Linked DNA regions of Zea mays. The protein of the gene in region 5 binds, or shares a complex with, the protein of the main gene of each other region. Links are inferred from orthologs where the notes say so. Each region holds a gene or a part of one and is shown on either strand. Other genes may lie near its edges.

What was found.
Region 1: Mediator of RNA polymerase II transcription subunit 28-like (region 5) and uncharacterized protein LOC100276155 share a complex: the UniProt entries of both Arabidopsis thaliana proteins name them as parts of the mediator complex. The link is inferred for Zea mays from reciprocal best matches to the Arabidopsis thaliana genes AT3G52860 and MED9.
Region 2: Mediator of RNA polymerase II transcription subunit 28-like (region 5) and mediator of RNA polymerase II transcription subunit 14 share a complex: the UniProt entries of both Arabidopsis thaliana proteins name them as parts of the mediator complex. The link is inferred for Zea mays from reciprocal best matches to the Arabidopsis thaliana genes AT3G52860 and SWP.
Region 3: Mediator of RNA polymerase II transcription subunit 28-like (region 5) and Mediator of RNA polymerase II transcription subunit 21 share a complex: the UniProt entries of both Arabidopsis thaliana proteins name them as parts of the mediator complex. The link is inferred for Zea mays from reciprocal best matches to the Arabidopsis thaliana genes AT3G52860 and MED21.
Region 4: Mediator of RNA polymerase II transcription subunit 28-like (region 5) and mediator of RNA polymerase II transcription subunit 25 share a complex: the UniProt entries of both Arabidopsis thaliana proteins name them as parts of the mediator complex. The link is inferred for Zea mays from reciprocal best matches to the Arabidopsis thaliana genes AT3G52860 and PFT1.
Region 6: Mediator of RNA polymerase II transcription subunit 28-like (region 5) and Mediator of RNA polymerase II transcription subunit 33A share a complex: the UniProt entries of both Arabidopsis thaliana proteins name them as parts of the mediator complex. The link is inferred for Zea mays from reciprocal best matches to the Arabidopsis thaliana genes AT3G52860 and RFR1.
Region 7: Mediator of RNA polymerase II transcription subunit 28-like (region 5) and mediator of RNA polymerase II transcription subunit 18 share a complex: the UniProt entries of both Arabidopsis thaliana proteins name them as parts of the mediator complex. The link is inferred for Zea mays from reciprocal best matches to the Arabidopsis thaliana genes AT3G52860 and AT2G22370.

What each region holds. Positions count from the first base shown.
Region 1 is NC_050097.1:1,837,529-1,841,677, forward strand, and holds the start of uncharacterized protein LOC100276155, read right to left. Parts: upstream 2,801-4,149; 5' UTR 2,636-2,800; intron 2,485-2,635; 5' UTR 2,450-2,484; coding exon 2,189-2,449; intron 1,556-2,188; coding exon 1,493-1,555; intron 1,018-1,492; coding exon 937-1,017; intron 1-936. UniProt on the Arabidopsis thaliana protein: Component of the Mediator complex, a coactivator involved in the regulated transcription of nearly all RNA polymerase II-dependent genes.
Region 2 is NC_050097.1:176,295,864-176,299,363, forward strand, and holds part of mediator of RNA polymerase II transcription subunit 14, read right to left. Parts: intron 3,103-3,500; coding exon 2,928-3,102; intron 2,398-2,927; coding exon 1,788-2,397; intron 1,677-1,787; coding exon 1,542-1,676; intron 1,357-1,541; coding exon 380-1,356; intron 1-379. UniProt on the Arabidopsis thaliana protein: Component of the Mediator complex, a coactivator involved in the regulated transcription of nearly all RNA polymerase II-dependent genes.
Region 3 is NC_050099.1:37,999,029-38,002,606, forward strand, and holds Mediator of RNA polymerase II transcription subunit 21, read left to right. Parts: upstream 1-1,330; coding exon 1,331-1,624; intron 1,625-2,267; coding exon 2,268-2,339; intron 2,340-2,436; coding exon 2,437-2,488; intron 2,489-2,559; coding exon 2,560-2,636; 3' UTR 2,637-2,646; intron 2,647-2,820; exon of another isoform or gene 2,821-2,823; 3' UTR 2,824-3,078; downstream 3,079-3,578. Other genes in the region: putative X8 domain containing family protein isoform 1 precursor, read right to left, coding at 3,352-3,377, 3,473-3,578. UniProt on the Arabidopsis thaliana protein: Component of the Mediator complex, a coactivator involved in the regulated transcription of nearly all RNA polymerase II-dependent genes.
Region 4 is NC_050097.1:178,589,898-178,592,069, forward strand, and holds the end of mediator of RNA polymerase II transcription subunit 25, read right to left. Parts: intron 1,641-2,172; coding exon 1,554-1,640; intron 1,481-1,553; coding exon 821-1,480; 3' UTR 501-820; downstream 1-500. UniProt on the Arabidopsis thaliana protein: Component of the Mediator complex, a coactivator involved in the regulated transcription of nearly all RNA polymerase II-dependent genes.
Region 5 is NC_050103.1:84,916,337-84,920,109, reverse strand, and holds Mediator of RNA polymerase II transcription subunit 28-like, read left to right. Parts: upstream 1-1,305; 5' UTR 1,306-1,451; coding exon 1,452-1,641; intron 1,642-2,075; coding exon 2,076-2,188; intron 2,189-2,953; coding exon 2,954-3,088; 3' UTR 3,089-3,273; downstream 3,274-3,773. UniProt on the Arabidopsis thaliana protein: Component of the Mediator complex, a coactivator involved in the regulated transcription of nearly all RNA polymerase II-dependent genes.
Region 6 is NC_050097.1:165,228,203-165,231,154, forward strand, and holds the end of Mediator of RNA polymerase II transcription subunit 33A, read right to left. Parts: intron 2,913-2,952; coding exon 2,237-2,912; intron 2,083-2,236; coding exon 1,876-2,082; intron 1,786-1,875; coding exon 680-1,785; 3' UTR 501-679; downstream 1-500. UniProt on the Arabidopsis thaliana protein: Component of the Mediator complex, a coactivator involved in the regulated transcription of nearly all RNA polymerase II-dependent genes.
Region 7 is NC_050100.1:126,532,858-126,537,095, forward strand, and holds mediator of RNA polymerase II transcription subunit 18, read right to left. Parts: upstream 2,801-4,238; 5' UTR 2,411-2,800; intron 2,217-2,410; 5' UTR 2,207-2,216; coding exon 2,171-2,206; intron 1,404-2,170; coding exon 1,304-1,403; intron 1,231-1,303; coding exon 1,173-1,230; intron 1,105-1,172; coding exon 748-1,104; intron 646-747; coding exon 543-645; 3' UTR 279-542; downstream 1-278. UniProt on the Arabidopsis thaliana protein: Component of the Mediator complex, a coactivator involved in the regulated transcription of nearly all RNA polymerase II-dependent genes.

The DNA.
Region 1 (4,149 bases), on a different chromosome or scaffold from region 5:
TAACCAGCACCATACAACATATAAAATTAGCAATATTAGGTCTATTAAAATGGTTCTAAATATTGTAGATCGTAATGACAGCACTGACACCGGTATCAACTGGAAAACTAGGGCTTTTTAAGGAAGGCAGCTCATGCCGGTCTCCACTAAACCGACAGTCCCTACTGGCTAGTAACATCAGTTATTACGTACTAGTAACCCAGCAGTAAAAACTGCCAAAACTAGCCAAACTTTAGACACTCTTAACAACTAATAATTGTGAATTAGAAAACAAAACAATGGCTCAGTAAGTCAGTGGTAAGGCACTAAGGCCGCTCGGTGCGACCGTGCGAGCGCTACTACCCGAGTTTGATCCCTGACTGGGGCGACTCAGGTGTCACACGGGATTTTCATCAGAGGGGACTAAGCCTCTATGTGTGTGAGTTGCTCAGTAGGCACGTTCCAAGACTGCTTGGGCAGCCTCATCCGTGTTTGAGCATGAGGACAACATGTGTGCACCGTGCACATTTGAGTTCTTATATGATATGCTAGTGCTTCTGGCAACAACAAAGCCTTTTAGCTCCAATCAAGTTGGGGCAGTCCCAAAGAAAGCCTTTTAGTCCCATGCCTTCTATATAATATGGCAATGCTCCTGTTGATGTTTAAATAAATGTGAATTAACTTTTTAAAAGGATTTGCCTAGAGACATGAATATTTATAGACATTTTATGAGACAACACAAAAACCTGCAACAGATCTACTATACCCCGTCTTATTATCCATTTCTGGAAAAAATTCTTAATTCTTGTGCAATTGAAAATTTTATTGGATACCAAAACAAAGTAATTGAGATTCATTAGCCAGAATAGTTCAATTTAACTTAGTAATTATTATCAAATTCAGAAGACCACTAAGAATAAAGCATATGAGTCAGGAAAGAGAAGTAACAGAACTTACAGTAGACTTTGAGCTTATTGTTCCCGATATGGAGTTCAACAATTGTTGGCACCTAGCAAACTGGCTGGTCAATTCTTCAACCTAGATATATATAAAAAGCTTCTCTTAATACAGTAGCTATTGGAATTAGGATTTAGCAAAACGCTGGGAAAAATATGGTGTTTAGCTGGTATTCTATAAGAAATCAGCATGGAAGTACACAATACATAGTAGTAATTTTAACATGCTTCTGCAATTGCATAATTGCATAACTAAGGGTATGTCTTCCACTGGCTTGGTTTTGGCTATGGAAAACTGAACCGTGCAGACCCTGTCACCCTGGGCTGGTCCCAAGCTTCCTGTGCACCACCAACACTAGAGCATTGTTTGTGACCTGTCTCTTCTCTGGGAAGTGATTTAAGAATTACATCACATGTCAATTCAAACTCTGTATAAGAATATTCAGGCTCCACGCCTAGAAGAAGCTACAACTATTGTTTCTGACAAGATCATGCACTATGAGTACAAGAACATTGATCCATAAAACAAATGAAAATTAGTAAATGGTGATTCTTACCAGTGCATCGAAATTTTGGTCCCTTGTTCCTGTACCAATAGCATCGGCTAATCTTGTAACCAACTAACAGAGAACAAAATTATGCAAAGAAGAAAACTATCAGTATTTCACAATACATTCTAGTACTTTCTCAAAGAGTAAAAGGAAGAAGAGCCATCATAAAAGTGGAAACAAAGATTTGCTACTTGCAAAAAAGCCATTGGAAATAAGCCTAAATGTTAGATGCCAATACAGACATGTGATTGCCAGCTTAAGAAAACCTACAATACCTAAAGTGCCCTCATATATATTTTTAATTTATGTATTTCTTGTCAAACCAACTCGAGTGATTAGAATCAACATTTTCTCTGGCCATTACCAATGTTGCACGCTCTGACGCTTGTATATCGTTCATGTACACCTATAATATGGCAATCTTCACTACCGGCCAAAGTGACAAATCATGGTGTGAAGAAATTGCAATCGCTGAGCAACAAATACAGGACAAATTAATGACAATCTTTAATGACTAGCAAAATCCCAAGTTCAGAATTTTGAAATTCCGGTGCACAAAGGGCACACTCCAACAACATCAATGACATCACTACAAAAAGAAGGGTTCATTTGAGGGTATGTATCATCTATGCTATCTTAAACTAAGAGCAAAGGCCCCCAAAACACAAAACTCCACACAACTCCAAACACTCCGTTACTTACATGTAGGAGGTGGAAGTGGGAGGCAAGAGAGGCGTGGTGATGCTGCTGCGGCTGCGGTGGAGACATCAGTGTCTGCTGCGGCTGTGGAGACATCAGTGCTGGCTGTGGCTGCGGTGGAGACATAAGCGCCGGCTGTTGCTGCGGCTGCGGCTGATGGTACTGAAGAGCGTGGAGGTGGTGGTCGGGCTGCGGGGACGTCATGAGCCCACGGTAAGGATCGCCGTACTGCTGCTGCTGCTGCTGCGGGTGGTGGTGATCCATCTCTATCCCCAGTTCCCAACACCTGCGGGCAGGGGCTATTGGAAAAATCGAAGTTATTAGTAATTTAGTAGGCATAATAATACATGCATATACTTGCAATTACTCCTGAATCAGATCCGATTCTTAAGCTAGGTTTTGAGTGCTCGGTTTCGCAAAGCAGATAGGGGAGAGGAGGGACGGGCATACCTAGTGGGTGCTCGTCGCCGGTGAAATGGGCACGACGAAGGTCTGGGCACCGGCACCTGACGGCGGCGGCGGTAGCCTAGTGCTCGCCGGGAAATAGGGACCACGCGGGGCGTGAACTGTGAACGGCGGCCAGTCCGGTACTGTTTGGCCGACGGGGGCGCTAATCTCGGAGTACGGTGGCTGTGTCCAGCTGATATGGCCGTCTAAAGAACTGTTGTTGTACGATAGTCATACCTTTGTTTGTAGCGTTGGAGTTGAAATAGTGGATAGATATTAGATACGAGAGGAGATAGATAGTGTTTTTTAACCTTATTCATCTATAGATGGCTAAATAGATTGTCTGTCCAGCATTAATGGTGTTATTAGACACTATTAGTAAATGTGTCGTGATGTGTTAGTACTATTGTCTAGACACGGCACTATAGTGTCTAATCATGTCATGCCGACACTAACATCTAGTAGGGTTCGTGTTAGCCCACTTTAAAAGCTCAAAATATATAGATGATTTTTAAGGTTATATATAATTTTAAAACTTGAATATGTGTACTATTATAAAGTGGGTTGACTCTTCTGAGGCTCCCTTTTGGTAGGATTTTTGCATCACCGGCTTTCCTTCTGGCTCATCTGAAAAAAATAGTTTGATCCTTATTTTTAGTAACCCTTGGAGAACACTCTATTTAGTTAAAACACAACTACTCCTATTTTCATGGGAGGGTGAGTGACAAGAGAGAGTCGAGTCAGAGAAGCCTCCTTTTTAGGCTCTGGGCTTTCCTCGGTTTTTAGGGACATCTCCTTCCTATTTTTATGGAGAAGCCACGAGAGGAGCCCACCATTTGGTAGCCTTTTTGAAGAAGCTGTTGAGGGGCCATTAAAAGAGCTCTACCAAATAGAACTCTACTATGTAAATTGTCATGTACCTAGGAACAGGGTAACCAAAAGTAAGCCCACAACCTCCTTCCGGCCCATTAGCCGACCAACCCTCTGCCAAGCAAGCCTACGAGGCGGAGCGGACGACCAAGTCCTCCGTCGAGCAAGTTTGCAAGATGGAGCGAACGACCAATTCCTCGTCGAGAGGCAGAGCGGCTGACCAACTCATCGACGAGCAACCTCGCAAAGCAGAGCAGCCGACCAACTCCCCACTGAGCAACCCTTTGAGGAGGAGCGGTCGACCAACTCCAAATTGGGCAACCATACGAGGCGGAGGTCCCAACCTAACGCTATTAACCCGTGATGGCTACGACAAGACGCGTCATCATCAACCCACGTCCGGACATATGTGCAACGTACCGAAGGGGCGCCAGGAGGTCACTATCGACACGACTGAACGCCACCACGTACGCTCTAAGGCGTATCCCCACTGCCATGTGGGGTCAGTCAACCCAGTCATAGAAAAAACCTCAGCACTGGAGCCTCTACAGTGACCCGTATACCGGGGAAGGCAGCACAATGCGCCATACAAAGTATATGCCTACACACACTAGGTGACGCGTGATCGTTATGAGGGCAAAATTCTT
Region 2 (3,500 bases), on a different chromosome or scaffold from region 5:
AGAGGATAAATGTATAAGAAAAATGCTTTTTGTGAATGCAAAAGCTGGCAAGTATGCAACTGAACAGTGGCCAGTGGTTACAGGTTAGCCTGCACGATGTCAATTTGTTCGCAGGAAAATGTTCAAGGACATGTTTTCCAATTGAAATTGACAGTCAGGATTAATTTACAGCATGTTGTGGTTCGATGGAACTACAAAGTGGCTAAACACATAAAATTTTTATTATTTCTGATAAAAGCATTGATATGCATTTGAGTAACCTGGTGAACTTTCAATGTCGAAAGTATTCAAATATTGGCTGTAGGTTTGATATTTTAAGATCCAAAGTACACATCCAATGTGATTGGTCTAGAAAAAAAATTGGAAAAGGAAGATATACCTTTGTGTGTGGCCAAAGCTGATCTGGAGAAACGTGCATTGTGCAACCAGCCTTAGCAATCTCCCATTCAACAACTATGTGTACCATAGGCATGGTGCCGTAGCTAAACCATAAGCTCATTAGACCGACAGCTTCAATCCTGAATGTCTTTCTCATTTGCTCAGATAGCTTGTCAGCAGCATCACTGTTACCTTTATTAACAGATTGTGATTTCACCTCCATGGTTAACTGGTTGTCATCTAGCTTGTCTTGAAATTTCACACCAATCAGTCTCCTCATTCCAAGAGCAAAAGAACGAGCATTTGAAAGTCGGCGTAAATCTGACACAAGCTTCTGGACACTATCTGCCTCAACAGTGTTGTAAGTTAAAACAACACCACTGGAATCAAATGAGATATGTGAATCCATTTCTGAGCTATTCGCAATGCGAATGCCAACACCCCATTGTGTTTTGGTGCTTCCTCCATTAAGTTCCCAAAGTTCCCTGAAATGTGGATCATTTATCCTAACATCCCAAGACATGCTTCCAGCCTTACCAAGGCGCAAGCATATATGGTTCCAAGAATCATCCTGTGCAAAAGGTAATCTCAACCAAAGATTAGACGATGGTCTCCGCAGACCAACTTCTTCAACATATGGAATCGCAAGGGAATCCATCTGAGCAGTGAGTTGGGCATGTTTGATGCATAATGAACAGTGTCTTATGACATGTAGTAGCACAGAAGCATATATAGTTGCCGGAACACAATTATTTCTTTCAGCAAGAACATCTCCATAGGTGAGACTGCCTCTTGATTGCAAATTAGAAGAGTGTGCCTGCAAAGGCAGGAGACTCTGCACTGATTCTGTTTTTTTTCTCCGCTTTCTTGGCTCACTAGGTTGCAGTCCTCGTAATGAAGGGATACTTGATAAGAAATCTGAAAGATAGTGTTTCCTAGATGCACCATCAGAACCAGCAGTGATGAGCTTCCCTAATCCTGAAAATTTGCCCAACTAAGATAACATATATTTGAACAATTTATATTTCCAATGACACCATAATTTAGTTCACCATAACGGTTACCAAAAGTTTTACATCTAAATTGTAATCTAGTTCACCATAATGGTTACCAGAAGATTTACATCTGACTCTAATAGATAGAAGAAAAAAATAGTAAAATACCTCCGGTTGTAGTTGAAGATCCAATCAAATGGCCAGGCGTAGCATTCCCAAGATTCCCTGAATGTGAGCTTTGAGCAGGGATTTGATTGCTGTTATCGTTGCTTGAAGGCACAAGCTGAAGTGATTTATTTGCACCTGCAATGTCATAGTCATATGGAGAGCTTAGCGAGCACAGGTCATGATTAGAATTAGAACCTGACAATTTGGTCATAGACATTACAGGGTTTGAAGAAAATGTGTTTGTACCTTGTAAATGTCTAAAGTTACTTGGGAAATAGCTATTCAAACTGACATTAGGATGAACATTCATGTTATTATTAGCTTGGGTATAAGATAAGCATCCATCATGCATTGGTGAGACAACCCTAGCATTTATTCCTTGAATATCAACTGGAAGACAACGATTCTGCGCAGCAGTAGAACCACGTTCATATTCGAAAACCTCATCAACAATAGATGAAAATGATGGTGAACAAGCAGGAAGTAGTGGAAGAGGTTCAATTGCATTTTGGACAGGAAGATCACTCTCCATCATGTCAGCAGAGTCCACTAAACTTTGTAGGGCCTGCAGCTTCACATCAAAAGGGTTCTCATTCATCTCATTTTTAAGTATTTGCATCTGTCCTATATTGATTTTGTTATATCTAATAGCTTCTTTCACATCTCCACTTGCATTAGTATTACCATTTGCATCACACTGTGTCTCAAGCAAATGAAAAACAGGCCTGAAGTCCTTATCAAGTTGCATCAACAGATAATAGGCATTTGCACAATGTGGAAACCCCATGACCATCAAATCTGAGCCATGTAATAAGGTCTTGGGAATCTTCAGAGTGCCCTGAGACTGCTGGTAAACCTATAAAACAAAAACAATGTAGTTTAGCACTTCATGTTTGAACAAGCAGACTTTGGCATACTCCAACAAGTCATCTGATAATAAACCGTACTACCGTAGACTGCCTTATATTCCATATAAGTAACCAAGCAAACATCATTTGTACTGTTTCTCTTCTCAGAGGCTAAAAGAAAATTCACTTCCAGAAAAGCAACAATTAATTTGAACAAGCATTACAACTGCTAAGTCATACTTAAAAGGGTGTCATCTTGTGGTCTCCAATATCAATCTCATTGATTCCACAATAATAATAATCATAAATAATACTACAAAAGTATACTTCAAAGCATCATAATATGGAAGTCAACAAAGCATTTTCATCATTATATGTCACCAATCTAACTATTTGTAAGGATATTACTGATCAAAAGTGCAGTGTGATTGCATGCATCCCATGGTACTTCAAATGATACGCAACAAGCAAAGATGACACCACATCCACTAAACGAAAAGAGCAGACATCTTTGTATATTTGTAAACATATAAACAACCTTAAGGCCAAAAAAACTTCCAGTTGCAGCAAGTAGGTGGAGAATGCTCCTGGTCCTAAGGCTTGAAAAAACCTCGGTAGCTGATGTACTCCCTTTGTTTAGAGCTTCCTCACAGTCCATAAGTGCAGCACGGGGTAATATATTTTCTGGTGATTGGAGGAGAAAGCGGCCACTCCTATTTTGAAGGGACAAGGAAAGAGTCACAAAATTAGGAAGTTGAAAATGCTAAATCAGGAATGAAGACATAAATATATTATTATTTGTCTTCAGGGCAAAAAAGAGTGTTACTCCTACGTGATACTCCCTCCTCCATTCCAAACTATAATTCACTTTGGCTTCATACCAAGTCAAACTTTTTTAACTTTGACCAAGTTTATGGAAAAAATGAACCAACATCTATAGCACCAAATTATTTTAATTAAAATTTCCATTCAATAAGCTCTATCAAATTTTCCATGCAATAAGCTTTGATAGAGGCATAGAGCATTTATTTGTACAATTAGGTGTTAATATATTTTTCTAAAAACTTGGCCAAAGTTAGAGAAGTTTGACTTACGATTTACGAAAAAGTTA
Region 3 (3,578 bases), on a different chromosome or scaffold from region 5:
CCGATGTCGGACGACTTTGTTGTTCCTGTCCACTTTGAAGTTGGCCAAGAACCTCGCTTTTGCCTCCTGGATCATCTGCTCCTTGTGCTCCTCGAACTGGAGCTGTTCGTCAGCCGGCAAGGTCTCCTAAGTCGGCTCTATGATGTTGCTTGGGGAAATATTAGAGCTATCTCTTGAACCGGCCATTGAGGGCCGATTTGATGCGTCTATATTTGTGTCCCCAGCGGAGTCGCCAAAAAGTATGTTGACACCTTTTTGGAGGCGCCAATCACTTAAAAAAACCAGCGGCGGTGCTCTCTGGTCAGGCGCGGACGGTCCGCGGCACAGGACCGGACGGTCCGCGACTTGGCGCGAGGCGGTGGTGCTCTCTGGTCAGGCGCGGACGGTCCGCGACACAGGGCCGGACGGTCCGCGACCTGGCGCAGGAGCTAAGGTTCCCTGCCTGACGGCCGGATGGTCCGCGCCCTAGGGCCGGACGGTCCGCGCGTGCGCAGGGGCGGCGGGAGATCGCCGGCGGCGCCTGGATCTCGCTCCCGGGAGGGACCCCGTCGGGGAGGAGAGATCCTAGGTGGTGTCTAGGCTCGGGTAGACTGACCTAGACTTCTCTAATCGACGTAGAGTCGAGGAGAGGCGGAAGATTTGGGGATCGAGAGGCTAAACTAGAACTAGACTAGAACTACTCCTAATTGTACAGGAAATAAATGTGAAATATAAGTTGTATTGATTCGATTGATGATTACAAATCGGCCGTATACCTCTCTATTTATAGAGGAGGGGGCTGGACCCTTTACAAACTAATTTCCGAGCTTTTCCCGCGATTTTAGCTAACAAACATAGCACAAAACTCGGAACCCTAATTTACTCTGCGCACGCACGGACCGTCCGGCCCACAGGCGCGGACTGTCCGGACCGCGGACTGTCCGGCCTCCGTCCGCGCTCCTTTTGGTGCCAAACAATTTATAATTTTGTCACTCTCAGTTTTGACTTTATTATATTATCCCATATCTATAACTGATAGAATCATCTGTGTCTATAATTTAGGGTCCGACGTCATATTAATGAAGCCTATAAATGACAATGGTAAAATTGCCGATGGCTCAGCATTCTGCAAATGTGTGGTGACCGGAAGACTTGGTGGTATCCCAGGAATATGAGCGAGCATCTTTTGAATACCGGCACATACATTTTTTAGATCCGGCCTGGTCCATGCTACGTGGGCTGGATCCTGCAGACCCATTCCTGGATGAAATCGGCCTGCTACAATAAAGCCGCCGTCCTGCAAGTCTGGGACGGAGGAAGGAGAAGAGGGAGAGAGTGGTGGGGATTCGGCATGGACATCATCACGCAGCTGCAGGACCAGCTCGACGAGATGGCCGTGCTGGCCGTCAACACCTTCGGCACGCTGCAGAGGGACGCGCCGCCGGACCGCCTCTCCAGCAGCTACCCTGACCCGCTCAACCCCAACCCTAAGCCCGAGGACGACTCCAAACCCCAGGTCCAGGCCCAGCCCGGCGCGCCGCCGCCGCCACCGGCGCAGGCGCAGGCGCAGGCGCAGCCGCCCGCGCCTGACCTCACCGAGCAACCCAAGGCTATGAGCCGCGCCCTCGTCCTCGCGGCCAAGAAGGTAGGTACCCTGCCCCACTTCTCTTCTCGGTGTCCCCATCTTCTGGACCAAATGCCCGCCCGGTGATTCCAAAATATCTTTGTGTGGTTAAGTAGAAAGTTTCGGCTCGCTTCGTAGTTTTACTCGTAAGTCTGATGCTGCGAATAAGTGAAGGACCAACTGTTTAATTTTTGCTTGCTTGCCCGCGTTATGTGGAGACAAACAATGAAACCGTGTTGCCACTTACTAGTCTTCATATCTTGCTCCATTGCATAAGATAAGATGTTTATCCCAACAGTGTACAGAACAATCTTCATCTCTTGCTCCATTACATAAGATAAGATGTTTATCCCAACAATGTACATAACGTAGAGTCTTCATCTCTTGCTCCATTTCATAAGATAAGATGTTTATCCCAACAACAGCGTACAGACGTAGAATCTTCATCTCTTGCTCCATTTCCTAAGATAAGATGTTTATCCCAACAACAGCGTACAGACGTAGAGTGATGCATACGGGAGGGAGGGAGTGAGGGAGATCACTTTGTGTTAACCATGGTTGAAAACTTGAAATGTAAAGACTGGCAAACTTTAGTTCAAATTATGCTTGCTGCAGTTCCAACTTTTTCCCCTTAAATGAGGAACAATTATGGCCTTCTATGCAGTTTGATGCACTTGTTGCAGCAGTGCCACTATCATCAGAAGAGGATCAAGTGAAAAGAATCCAAGAGCTACAGGTAGATATCAGACAGTCAGATTAATTCATCGAGCACAGGATGGGCATCTGCCAAACTCCTACTCCAAATAAACTGTATGAAAATCTGAAATTTGCAGGCAGAGAATGAAGTCGTGGGACTGGAGCTCCAGAAGCAACTTGAAGCTGCCGGTAACACGATCCCCACTGTTTCTAGAGTTCTTACTATTATATGTCTAATTACTGATGTCATTGCGTTACAGAAAGGGAGTTGAAGCAGGTTGAGGTGCTGTTTAATGAAGCAACAGACAATTGCATAAATTTTAAGAAGCTAGATTAATTACGTTAATGTAAGTTGAGATGAATTTCTTCCTACAACTTATCAATGCACTGTCAAAGTCAATTTCTCTTTTAATTTGGCTCCAACAGTTACTTCTTGGTTTTGTATGTATTTGGCATCAAGTGTTGGAAACCGATCTAGCTCATAAGATATTGTGTTGACGTAAATCCAATGTCTGCCATAGCAGGTTTGCTGAAAAGAAACTGTTCCTGTGGATGGAGTGTGGAGGATGAATGCCAGTAAGAACTTTATATTCCGTCTTTTCAGATTCTCTACTAGTGAACAATAATTGCACTTAGCTTTTGTGTACTGGCATTCTGATCTGCCGGATTAGGATTGACCTTTGGTTGTAAGGTGCAATGTTTTTAGTATGAACTGACGCTTGAACTGTGGTGGTCTTTTTAATGGATCTGGCACCTGGCTTCCTCTGGGATTTCTTCTATATTTTGGTATTTGTTCAGTACCTGAGACCTTTGACACCTGTTCCTAAACTCCCCTCCAGCCACTGGCCTGGAGTAGAACTGTATTTGGGAAATAAAAGCACGGAAATTCTCTCTACAGTGCTCAGACATGATACTGGTTGGTTCTGCAAGGATACTCCCTGCTCACTCACACAGACACAATAACAAAACAAAGAGAAGGAAAAGATGCATCATTCCCCTACAGCCTTATTCATCGTCCGTTGAGCACAGCAGCAGCAGAGCAGCCCGTCGTGTCAAGCATATTTGCAGGTGCCAAGGCCTGCAAGAGGATCCAATGATCCATCATCCGGTGTCAGCTCCCCCAACACGGTTCACGGGCAATGAGACACTCACAGCAAGCAAGGAAGCACTCACTGGGGTCAGTGATGGTGATTATGCCGGTGCCGTTGAAGAAGCAGTTCCACGAGTTCCTCCCCCGGGCCTGGTAGTAGGCGTTCATGGCCACCGACGCCCGCGACAG
Region 4 (2,172 bases), on a different chromosome or scaffold from region 5:
TATAGTCCAATATATGCTCAAAGTGTTCTCTTAGTTTTTTATGATCTTTGTGTTCAATTCGGATGCATCTACATATTCTTATAAAAGGTCTTCAACACGTTTTTCAATGTCTTGCTTGAGGTTTTGATCATTTATACCACCAATTTATCTTCATTCAAATACACTTTGCATCCTTTAAACTATATCTATAAATACTAATAAATAATGTTACTTAAAATACTAGCAAGCAATATTAGTTCAAATGATTATGTTAATCATCAAATACTAAAATTTATGCATCAGTCTATTTTACTTACATTCCTATTGCAACAAACAATTTTGCTAATATTGACTAAACGACGAATTAAATGATTGTTTAGCTTATTTAATCATGCTAATATTGAATAAAGTATGAATTAAATGGTTGTTTAGCTTATTTAATCATGTTTAGCTCGATTCAATGTAAATCGTTTAGACAGTTTAAACTGCTTAAATGATTCAACTACCTATTTAACGTACCATTTAAACCCTAAACAACACAGGTCACTTATTTTACTGTAGTTTAAATAATAATTCTGTTATACCTAATAGTTTACGGCTAGTACAACAATGCCATAAAGTCACTCAAGATTACGAGTACACCACCATATCATAAAGTATGCACCTATGCATGGACATCTGGCATTTACCTATCGGTGACAGGGATGCTTAAGTTTTCAGATTAAGTTTTAGCAACACTCCCCGAGTGACTATTCCCTAACCCTGTCAAATGAAGTTGACATCTCAACACTTGGGTCAGTGTAAACCCTCAATTCATCTGATGCCTGCTGATAAAAGGTGCTTAAGGTAGGAAGCCTCCCCCAGGCATGCTGCCCGGCCCCTGTGGCGTAATCTTCCCTTGCATCATCTGCACTGCCCGATTGTGCCCCTGCATGAACTGCTGCCCCATTCCTGTACCCACCATCTGGGGTTGCTGCTGCTGTTGAGGCTGCATCTGTTGCTGCTGCTGCTGCATTTGCTGCATCTGTTGCTGTTGAGGCTGCATCTGTTGCTGCTGCTGCTGCATTTGCTGCATCTGTTGCTGTTGAGGCTGCATCTGTTGCTGCTGCTGCTGCTGCATTTGCTGCATCTGTTGCTGCTGAGGCTGTATCTGTTGTTGTTGTTGTTGTTGTTGCTGCTGCTGCTGCTGCATTTGCTGCATCTGTTGCTGTTGATGCTGCATCTGTTGCTGTTGATGCTGCATTTGCTGCTGCATTGGCTGCATCTGCTGCTGCATCGATTGCATCTGCTGCTGCATCTGCGAAGGTTGCTGCTGCTGCATCGGTTGCATCTGCGGCTGCTGTTGCTGGAGTTGCATCTGTGATTGCTGAAGTGGGAGGCCTTGCGGCTGCATATGCATGTGTTGTTGCAGCTGCTGCTGCTGCTGTTGAAATTGCTGTAGCTGCTGTTGCTGCATTGGTGTCTGCTGAGTTGAGGCCTGCGGTTTGAACACCACCATGTCCTGGGAAAAGGTCATTTAGTAAATGCAGATAATTATGCAGAACATTAATTAATTTAACTACAATCAAGATTACCCCAGGGAAGAGCATGCCAATCAAACGACCTGCTTTGTCAGCCATCGACAGCAACAGAGTTTGCGATGGTAACTGTATCACAGCACACTGAAACCAGGACCAATTGGATATTAGAACTGTATAAAGTAACTGACAGAAAACTAAGTGTATGAAACGACAGTAGATGAACCGCAGCAAAATAACAAAATTACTGGTTAGTTGTCCGTGCGTTGCTACGGTTTTTATATATCATAAAGATAAATCTTATTTAAATAAGATATTTATTCAAACACGGTCTAAACCGGATGTGTGGTGAGATGAGATGAAGTTTTTTCTCTCGCTTTTTTCCACGCTCACGAGATCAGAGATAGTGAGAAAGAAGGTATTGTACTATAGATAGCCAAATAGGTCGTGTCTAGCAGACTGACCCAAGGCACGGCCCATTTAACAGTACCGCGGCCCGACCTGAGAACCATGTCGTGCCTGAGCCACCGTCTCAGTCTATAGTGCCGGCCCGGTCCGACGTGGCATGATTATATTTTTTTAAATTTAAATGTATTAGTATGTATATATATTTACAATATTTATCCTCTGTGTAACACAATATTTAGAATATCTATAGAAGAGGGCCACGGTTCGA
Region 5 (3,773 bases):
TGCAAGAGGACCTCAACAACTTCACAAGGAATGAGGTATGGTATTTAGTTCCATGTCCTAACCAAAAATTAGGGTGTTACAACTATTAGGGCTTGTTTGGGAGAAACAGGATTGGAGGGGATCGAGGGGTTAAAATTTCTTACTTCTCAATAAGCCCTTAAGTGATTTACTAAATTTTAGGTACCTGAATTTTAGTTTTTAGTGTGTTGTAATTTATATAGACATAATCTACATTTTTACTCTTAAGAATAAAATATCTATTGAACAAAATCATAAATTTGGTAGATTTTGATTTGTGTTGACATAAAGACCATTAACATTTTGCAATTATTTTAGTAGTTAGCTAAGGGAAAAAATATAGGTTATAACATAAAGGTAAACAATAAAATTATAGTCTTAGACCCCCTTTGGACCCTTGGAATTGAATTCTAATATAATAATTGTAATTTAGACATAAATCAATTAAACTAATATGGTTTTATAGTGAGTATATTTGTATATTAGTGTTGGCCATATTTGAGAGATATTTATATGTTACATTTCTACTATAGGAGAGTGAGTAGAAGAGTGTGTTATAAATTACAGAGTAGAAACGTAGAATTGAATACATAAAATCAATTTCCACCCCATCTTATGAATTTGAGATGAGTTTATATCTAAACTTTGGAAAGTGGTGTAATATCAAATTCAAATCAAATAACCTACTCTATTAAATACTCCCTCCAGTCTTTAAATACTTGATGTTTAAGTGATTTTCACTTTGGATGCAAATACTTGATGTTGAAGCATTTGAAGCTTATTTTGGACTAGCAAATGCTTGATGTTGAAGCATTTGAAGCTTATTTTGGACTAATATACCCTTGATATAAGTGGTTCACACATTCTTCCACATATGCTTAATTATTCTTATCGTGAAGGTTTGATCTCACGACCTAGTGTAAAATTCTTTAGGACCCAACCATCTAGGCTAACATCTTCATGTGTTTGTTGTGGAATCTAAGCGTATTTATTAGGGGTATTATGGAAAATAACAACCCTATTTAATAGCTCCTTGGTATATGAGGTCATGTCCAAAACATCAAATATTTGAAGACTGGAGGGAGTAAATTCCAATTCTTTGAAAATAAAAGGATCCAAATGGTCCTTTATTAGCAATCAGTGGTATATAAGAGTGTTGCCTAAATTTTAGGCACCAAAATATGAAGAAGTGTGCTATTATAAAAAAGAAAAAATATTTCAGAAAATTGTCAGCCTGAACAAACTATGCGCTTTCCTTCAGCCAAGGCAGCCTCAGCCCTCGAGCCTATGCCTATCCAGGCGCAGAACACGCCATTTGTAAACCAATCCTAGCCGTGCGTCTTCAATCCAACGGAAAGTTCCTCCTTGTCAATAGCAAATCGGAGGCCCAAGCGCTCCCAATCTCTCCGGGTCCTCTCTCCGCATTCTCCGTCATGGCTGAGCCGACGCCGTCGCAGTCGCCAGCGCAGACGCCGCCCCCGCCGCCGACGCAGCAGACTCCCGCGGCGGGTGGGCTCGAGGACATGCTGGCGTGTGTGGCGGCGCTGGAGGCCGCGCTGCTGCCGTGCCTCCCCGCGCGCGAGCTCCAGGCCGTCGACCGCTCCCTCCAGTCCTCCCACCAGAGTACGGCCGACCCCCATCATTTCCCCACTCTCCTCCTCTAGAGGTAGCTTCACTTTGATCCGGCACGGCTTCGACACCAGTAAAGTCTCATGGTGTTCGGTCGGTTAATGGCGCCGTCGCGCGCCACATGTTCGTTGTTTTGCCTACGGGATGGATAAAGGGATCTTGCTCTTTCTAGAGGAAGATTTTGCATCTTTCTTGTGCCCAGGAAATTGTATATCGATTGGTTTCTTAGGTCCTAGACTGAGAACTCAACTTGTATCAACTGTACCAATCAGGCAATCACATTGCAATGCTTATTAAAGAAGTAAATCACATTTTTAGATACCGACTTAATAGTGTGCAATGCTTATTAGAGAAATTTAATTGCATTTTCTCATTCGTTCCTGCCAAACAGGGTATCTAAGTGTTGTAGTCTCTACTAAATTGGGCAGTTGATGTTGAGAGGCACGCAAGGGATTTCATGGAGGCTGCCAAGAAGCTCCAGTCTTATTTCATCAGCCTGCAGCGTGAGGAACCGCCATCTGCAGAAGAGATGCTTCGAAAGGTATATTTCTACTTTATCCTCGTATAGTTAAGAGTGCGGCAAGGATAGTAGTTAAATTAAATTGGGGACTGGTTATGGAGAATGAATTAATTATAAAGTGTTTGGTTTGAGGAATGAGCTAGTCCATCGTCTTCTCACTTCTCTTTTTTTATTTGATTTGTGGAATGAAATAAGGAATGGAGTCATTCCTTATAGTTAGTTAGTACTAATATGAGAAATAAGGTCATCCCAGCAAATTTGAGGAATGGACTCATTATACACCACATCATTTTGGATTGAGTGACTCCTCAAACCAAACACTCCCTTAAAAGTTTTCATTGGTGATAGGATTGACATTTCACATGATATGATCATCCCAAGTACTGTGATCATTTGTGGTTGGCACTATACTTAGGAATAGCCAACTTTATAAATCACATAGTGCTACTTGCTACAGGCAGTTTGTTACACTCAGTATAAGCTTTATTACAAAGACTCCTATATTTCTACTCGAAGTTGAGGTGTTCATTATTGAAAGAACTGGTAGCCTGCCTGAATCGTCACTTCTACAAAGTAATGTTCCCAAGGAACACCCAATCACATTCATACACCTAACACCTTCTGTGCTCATGAATTTTTCATGCACACGTTTCTGTAAAAAAATGCCTTTGCAGTAGTTGAGAGAATCACAGGTGCATAGTTGCTGGTCTTAATTAGGAATTTGGGATACATATACCCACCCAATATTTATCATCTCGTTGGCATGTTCGGTTTTGCATTGCACAGGAGATTACGACAATGGAGGAAGAGTTGAAGAGCAAGTCTGAGCTCATTGCCAAGCACAAGAAGTTGATTGAAGGGTGGCAAAAGGAACTGAAGGAGCAGCTGAGCAAGCACATCACGGAGCTTGAAAGGGTGTGAGGAGTGCGATTCTGCGGTTTACCTTGTAGTGATCATGAACCTCTAGGTGACCAAATGTTATGTTATGCCCTATAAAACTGTGTACATGTGCTTAGAATCTGACGCCATGGTTAGCAATCGCCTTTTGTTGGTTTCTTAAGGTTGGAAGCCACGAACAAAGCCCACTTTATCTATGTTTGATTGTGTACCTTTACTTGCCCCATGGTCTCTGTTGTTGTGCAAAATGAGTCTCTGCCATCATAAAACGACATAGAATGCTAACGGCTTCCTGTCTTTATGGGTAAACTTTGGGTGAATTTATGGGTAAACTTTGGGTGAACTGTTGGAGTCAGCCTAGCGGGTTATGTGCCTACTCTGGATGGCCGCCATGTTCGCAAGTTCCTTTCTATCTTTACTCCATTTGTGCCTGGATCAGCTCGAACAGAACCTTCTCCTGACAAAAAGCCGAGCCAAGTGGCACAGTTGCTACGTTGAATACACGAGCAAGCGAAAAAAAACACTTTGTGTTTTATCTCCGTTCCTAAAGGTGCACTGCCAGGTTGTTCAGTAATCCACTACTAGTCAAAATCTTTCTCAATCCATTTCAATACACCTTAATCCATATGATTTTGCTATAAAATGAACAAGACCTAAGGACATAATCCTTGTCATCACAATTCATATGGATTGGAGATAATTGGATGAG
Region 6 (2,952 bases), on a different chromosome or scaffold from region 5:
TACGAGAAAATTTCTTCCGGTATGTGTGGAACGTGCTCTCCAATGATGAGACCATGCAAATCGTAACATATATCGAAGTTTGCATGATACTGATGGTTGCAATGTAGTGGTGAAACAGATAGATTATAAATAACAAAATTTATGTATGCCAGAATCACAAATTGGTTATGAAACATTTTCTCATAACGATATAACACATTTTGTATATAAGTTATCATAGTATACTGGTATTATATATTCCCGTTGCAACGCATGGGCATTCAGCTAGTTACATAGAAGGAAATACCTCTATTTTCTAGTTGGGGCTTTATATTTGAAATTGTTTATGAGTTTAGGGTCTCTATTGAAGTTGCTCTTATGAGCTGGCTGACAATTAACTCTATAGCTTTGGAACATGGTCTAACTTTAATCAACTCAGTGGAAGCTGCATGAGAACTGTGCCAAACATGTCCGTTCATAAACCTAGGTTTTACATTCTGGTACATCATTTCTTTTTTTTGCAAACGGGTAGATGAAGGTTAGTATTAGAGAGATCAAAACGTCTTAACAGTTTTACAGATAAAATCATTCAAATATTACCCGTGAGCATACACATGGCCAGATTTTAACCGATTATATACAAAAACTGCATCATCGCTGACGAACAGCATACGCCGCGCGGCGCGCGCGCGCATCGGCGTCACAACTCCCTGCCCAAGATCATCTCCGCGGCTGTGCCCATAGCCTCGGGACCGGCGCGGCGGAGGAGCGCCACCGCGAGCTCATCCTCGCCCCAGTGCCGGAGGCCGCTGCTCAGGCGCTTGAGCACCCTCAGGTCCACCTCCTGCACCCAGCACGGGGTGCATTCAACCACCAGTCCTAGGAACCCAGAGACGTAGGCTCGCCACAGGGAGAGGTCGCAGCCGAGGAAGATCTTCCCGGCCAGCGCGCTCGCCAGGAACCCCAGGTGCGACCGCATGACCCTCTCGCGGCGCCGGGACACGGGCGTCTGGTCGATGCCCCAGGCCAACATCCCCGAGTACACCGCGAAGTAGGCCAACGCGTGCCCGCCTAGCTTGTACACCACGCCTCCGCTAGCCCCGCCCTGATCCAGGTTCTGCGCGGACAGGAACCAAGACGGCAGCATCTCCTGGATCAGGGACTGGACGAGAGCCGTGCCGCCGGATAGCCAGACGAGTGTCGCCCCCAGAGATGCCGCCACCTTCACCTGCGTCATTGCAGCGGAAAGAGATACCTGGCCATGCCTCATCCCGTACTTGGTCTTCTTTAGCTTGTCTGGCCTTTGTCTGGGCACAGTTGTTTCTGCGATATCCTTCACTGAGAGCATCAGAAGGGAGAGTATGTCCTCGGCGAGTATGGAGCAGTCCTTGATGCACCGGAATATCCGGAGGTAGAGGATTCCTGGCGCAACTGGCGAGAAACCACCAGGGCAGTACCCGTGGCCCAGAAGGCTGGCGACACCTCCACAGCTGCATACTGATGTCGAAGACATGCCAAGGGTAGCGGCGAAGCAACTTCGGAGGAGCTGGACGACTGCATCGTTGTTGTGGTGGAACACAGTGCGCGAAGCTGAAAATATTAGGAAATCGCTCCATCGCTTCACCTTCTGGGTCCACAGTGCTGCAACGATTGCCATGCTTGGCCAAGGGCAGCTTGCAGCCAGGTTCTCTAGAGCTGGACCAGCAAGGTTGAGGAAACACTCTGATGCCTTGTCAAGCTTGTATGTGATTGTGAGGCTCACGAAAGCAGCCAATGGTAACGGAAGTGTACCTGAAGAGCTTCCTCCTGCAATACATGAGACCTGGATTAGTACTCACTGCATGAAAACTGGTATGTTGGCTGTAGCAATGGCAGGAGATGAACAGGAACCAACACCTGTAACTAGCTTTGGAACATCAACACCGGTAGCAGCTACGATTTTCTTGATGTGCTCATCAACCATGGATAGGTTCACAGAGGGGCTAGGCCAATCTGATCCATTCATGGATGCAGGCTTCCAGACACCCCGCGTCACCTCAGCGGAAAAGTAGCTTACTATTGTAGCAAGAGATGCAGGGAGGAAATCAGCCAGATCCTTCAGGCCTGAAAAATGAGATGACATAGTTATACACCCTGACCCTGAATGAGCATTTTCTAACATAAAGGTTAGAAGCCACGGTTGGTACTCTTTACTCTTGATTATCGGATAAAAGTAGCACTGGTTTCTAAAATTGCCTTAAAACTGAACACAACCGACCTGTGGCCAGTTCACGTGGAAATAGTCTTCCATGGGAACAAGCAGTAAGAGCAGCATCAACCACAAAAGGAACAGCCTCCAGTATCTCCCAAGCTGGCAACTGAGGCCAAAGATGTGAATCATCCCCACCAGGACTGGAAGAATTACTTATGCTGCTACTTCCAGATAAAGAACCTATTGATGTGCCTCCTTTATTAGCTTTTCTGAACATCTGATTAAGAAGGCTATCCACATTGTTACGTACAGGTGTCCCATGAGCAAGTCCAGAGAGAGTTGAGGCCAGACAAGCTTGGTGCTGCTGGTACCATAACTTCAACTTTGGAAACGAGTCCATAAAAATAGGATTTCCAGATGATGGGTGTGAAGTTGATACTTGTGATTGCCTTTGTCCGTTTCGTTGTTTTGACAAACTGCTGGAAGATAGGACCTGGGAATTCCGTAACAGCAGAAGATACTCAGGAGTTAGCTGCGAGCCAACTGGAGCACCATCTCCCATTATGCAATACTCAAGTGGTGGATGGTTAAACTTCCAAAGTCTCAACAGAAGAATAAATGCATTCGAGAAGACTGTGTGAGCAGATATTTCCTCTCCAGTTCTCAGTGTCCAGGAAACACTTGGAGAAAGACACCCAAATACTTCACAGATTGCCATAAGAGAAGCAGCCAGCTCTGGAATCTGGTGATACGGAGAGGAAAAAGTTCAGAATCAAAAGATA
Region 7 (4,238 bases), on a different chromosome or scaffold from region 5:
CAATCTTAAGTGTCATACTAATCTCCTGTCAACGTCTCGACCGATGGGTGCATCAATGACTTTTTAATGGGTGGTCTTTCCACAAAGGACATGCCACTAATATTGATAATGTTTACCATACGGATTTTGCATATCATAATGATATTTGTCGTTCCGTTTATATATTTCATACAATTTTTTTACTTCCGTCGCAACGCACGGGCACTCACCTAGTTGAAAAATATATACACATGAGATAAACTTCTTTTTGAGAAAAGAAATTATGGTTTGGATTTTTGAGAAATTTTAATATTGGTAATACTAGATTGTTACACCCTGCAACTACAAGGCAGGGCATTACCCATCAGCAATCATGCAACCAGTCAAACCAAGAGCAAGGTTGGCACAACGATGTGTCAGACATGGACAACACTAGCAGGCAAAACTGACTGCTCAAATGCTCGGCACGAAGAAGGCCACCTCATTAGCCACGCCCACTCATCTCAAAGAACGGACTTTGGCTGTCCTAGCAGCAAGAACGGACTTTGGCTGTCCTAGCAGCATTACAAGGTTTTGCCACCGCCACTTGACATGAGTGAGGCAGCAGCAGCGGCTGCTGTTGGAACGATTCCTGTCGAGTGTCCTGGTTTTGACAGATGCAGCAGCCTGCAGCAGATTTCCAAGGATTATTAAAACCAAAAAGGTGTTTGGTTCATTCTTATATGTTTTCTGATTGTTGCCTCGGAATTCAAGCTTTGGGGTACTTACGGGGCAAGATATTCACAGAACGCAGTGACAGCTGAAACAACATCATTGTAATTATCAGCAGCAGCAGGAGCTGTGATTTCCACTAGCTGTATGGCAGGAGTGACTGGCGTAGCTTCATCGGTTGCATGGAGCCTTGACATCTTGTTAGCAGATGTAACAGTGACAGTGATTTGGGCACCTCGGTGGAAACGAAATGCAAAACCGCTCTTCAAGAGTTCATGGTCTAGCTTGTACCCTAGGGTGTAGAAGTAGTGCAAGACGTTCTTGCTAGCTTTGCTCTCCACAACTGTACGAACCAGAACTGAGATTTGCTCCGCACCAGCACCTCTCATGGCACCACCAACATGTCTTATGGTCCTACAATCTTGTCACAATTAATGATAAACATAACAAAAGGTAGACTTTCAGCAGCTTGTCTCGGTTACCAGGATGGTGTGGGCTGAGCTAAGTCACACAACAAACGAACCTCCGATGGGACAACACCTGTATGATTGCAAGACGTCAGTTAATACGCCACATGTGTAGGAATGGAGGAGTAGACTAATCACAAACTAACCTAGATTGGGCCCACTTTTAAGGCAGAGCTCATGCACCCTAAAACGCTCTTTCGGGACACCAGAGAGTCCCTGGAGTAGAACCTCAAGAGCATCGACATGCTGCAAAATGGAAAGATCAAACAAAGGTTAAACTAATGGCAGAGCAGTACAACAAAGAGCAACTTACATTCTGTGCACAACACATAAACTAGAACATACCAAAAAATTAAGTTCCTCTCTATTGTAAAAGCACAAGGATAGATCATATGTTCCCCCAACTGTATATTAAATGTTACTATTCTGTTAACATGCTGAGAAGAAAAAAAACAAATGAAATCAAAAGCTCCAGAAGTAGTGCCTTAAAGCGCGGAATAAATTGTTGACATTTAGTGGTCTACATGATCTATCTATTTATCACTTCAATAAAATAAACTTTTGTTAGTATTTATCTGTGATGGAGTAAACAGAAAAGTGACCACCAACTGGCAACTATGGATAGTGGCCATACCTAAGGGAGCTCAACTGAACACTAAAATGAAGCTAGATTGTATGGTGCGTAAGCTCAACATTGTGCACTGTACATGTACATCAATATGAGATTGTTTTGTCCACAGCAACGGAATTCAATTAGTAACGAAATGTTCAACAACAAATTCAATACTATAAGTATATACTTACAAATAGATATTAACAATCTATACACCATTCAAAATACTTATCAAATCTAGATGCAAGCAGTGAGAGGAAAAGTTAATGTCTGATCTGCATAACAAAATAGACTGCACTAACGATGATGAAAGAGCTCCTATCTTTCAAATGTTAGTGGAATGCGTGAAAATCAAATTTTACATAAACCATCAGTGCCAACTTGCATTGTGGCACAATACCTGGTTCTCGATGATTCCCTGCACCACGCACTCCATCGATCTTCTACTGTCCCACAATGATTTTGCACCCAAAAAAAAAGAATCACGTTAGTGGATTTGTTATATGTGTATCAGGGGTGGACCAGTATGGCAGTAAAAAACAAAATTAGAAGTTAGTAGACATCAAATAGTTAGGTTAGAGTTCGGGAACTCGTTTTCGCACAGCGGGTAGAGAGAAGAAGGGGGTGGGAGTGGGAATACATTGAGAGCGTTCTTCGCCAGCGAATAGATCAGCGAAGGGCGTGGTGCCTATGGTGGCGACTGCGGTAGCCCGTCCAGTCGTCGCAAAGAGAGAGAGAGAGAGAGAGCGCGCGCGCACGCGGTGTGAAGGTGACGGATGCGGCAGCGGCGGCGGCGGCTGTAGCCCAGCTAGGGCCTGATCTGGGAAGAGGGAGGCTCGATAGGACTGAGGCACTGTCGGCGGTGCGAGCCGTGCGGCGCAGCGTCGACAGGAACAATGGTGGACGCGACGCGAGGAGGGAGACGGGAACGACCGGACGAGGGAGCCAGGCAGTGGACGGCTGGGCTTGAGCAGGGAGGTGGGCTTGAGCTGGGAGAGTTCACAGTCTCGTTTGGAATGATCCAAATTTCGTTTCGTTGACTAATCTTTTATTTTTTATATTGTTATATTTTGAATCAAATCCATTTAAAACGGACTGAAATTTGTTTTTTTGGTTAATAGCGAAAACGAAAAAAGTATCAAAATTTGGTGATCTCGGACAGAAAAGATAAACCGTGGGCTTGAGTCAGGATTGTTCAGCCTAGTCGCGGTGCGGGGGTTGTTCAGCCTTATTTGTCACTTTTTTTATTTTAATTTTGATAAGACCTAATAGGTTACTCTAGATATGTTATCACTTTACCTTTTTATTCCTAAATCACTTGATAGTTTTACTATTTCTTTACATGGTTTTGGGTTAATATTTCATTATATCCATGTTCCAATTATTTTGTTATTTTATTTTTATTCATGTCAAGATTATTATCTTTAATTGGAACATAGAGCTTAACTTGAGAAACATGTGTCACCACAAGAGAGGAATGAGACCCCTTGACTAACTAATTAGGAAAGCTAGTGGAAAACTACCTTACCCGAAAGGGGCAACGGCAGTAAGAGAGTTACATGCAGAGAGGTTCTCGGTTGATTTTGCTGCGATGGCGGTCAGACGGGGGATTCTTGCAAGTCGAAATCTAGTGGAACTTTATAAAGGCCTCGTAGTGTTGCCCTGTCTCGCTTCCTTGGTAGAGGTGTATGAGAGTCGCGATCCCTTGGTAGATGGGTAACATTACTTGTGGATACAGGGTACAGCCTCTGTAGAGTGTAAAACTGGTATACTAGCCGAGCTCATGGTCATGAGCAGCTCAGAACTGTCGCATGATTAATTAATGGAACTTAAATTCAATTTGTCATTTGCATTGCATGTGATTACTTATTAATTTTGTTCTATTATTTATTATGGTTTGGTATTTACTTACACTTAGTAACTGCTAATAAAATTTTGACCAACTTATAAAAGCAATGCTCAGCTTCAACCTTTATTTTGTTGATCAGCCTTACACTTCACATGAACTCTCACCTTTGGTGAGTTCATGCACACTAGTTTCCCCACAACTTGTTGAGCTATGATCATATGTGAGCTCACCCTTTCTGTCTCACACCCCCATAGGAGAAGAACAGGTGGTTCAGGAGGAGGCACACAATGAGGAGTTTGATCTAATCTAGGTGGCATCTCCCAGTTGACTTATTGGCGCTAAAGATGGATTTTAGTTCGATTTATATTTATCTTTTATTTTGTAAGACTTCCGCGATGTAATAAGTACTCTGATGTTATTGTGACATTTATCTCTATACACTCTGTTATTATATATGTTGTCTTCTTTGGCACATGTATGAGATGCATTCGGCTTTGTTCCTTAAATCCGGGTGTGACAGAAGTGGTATCAGAGAAAATGTTGACTGTAGGACGAAACCTAAATAGAAATGGACAAAACCCTTTCCTAATTACCTTACTCTGATTCATTCTATACTTAT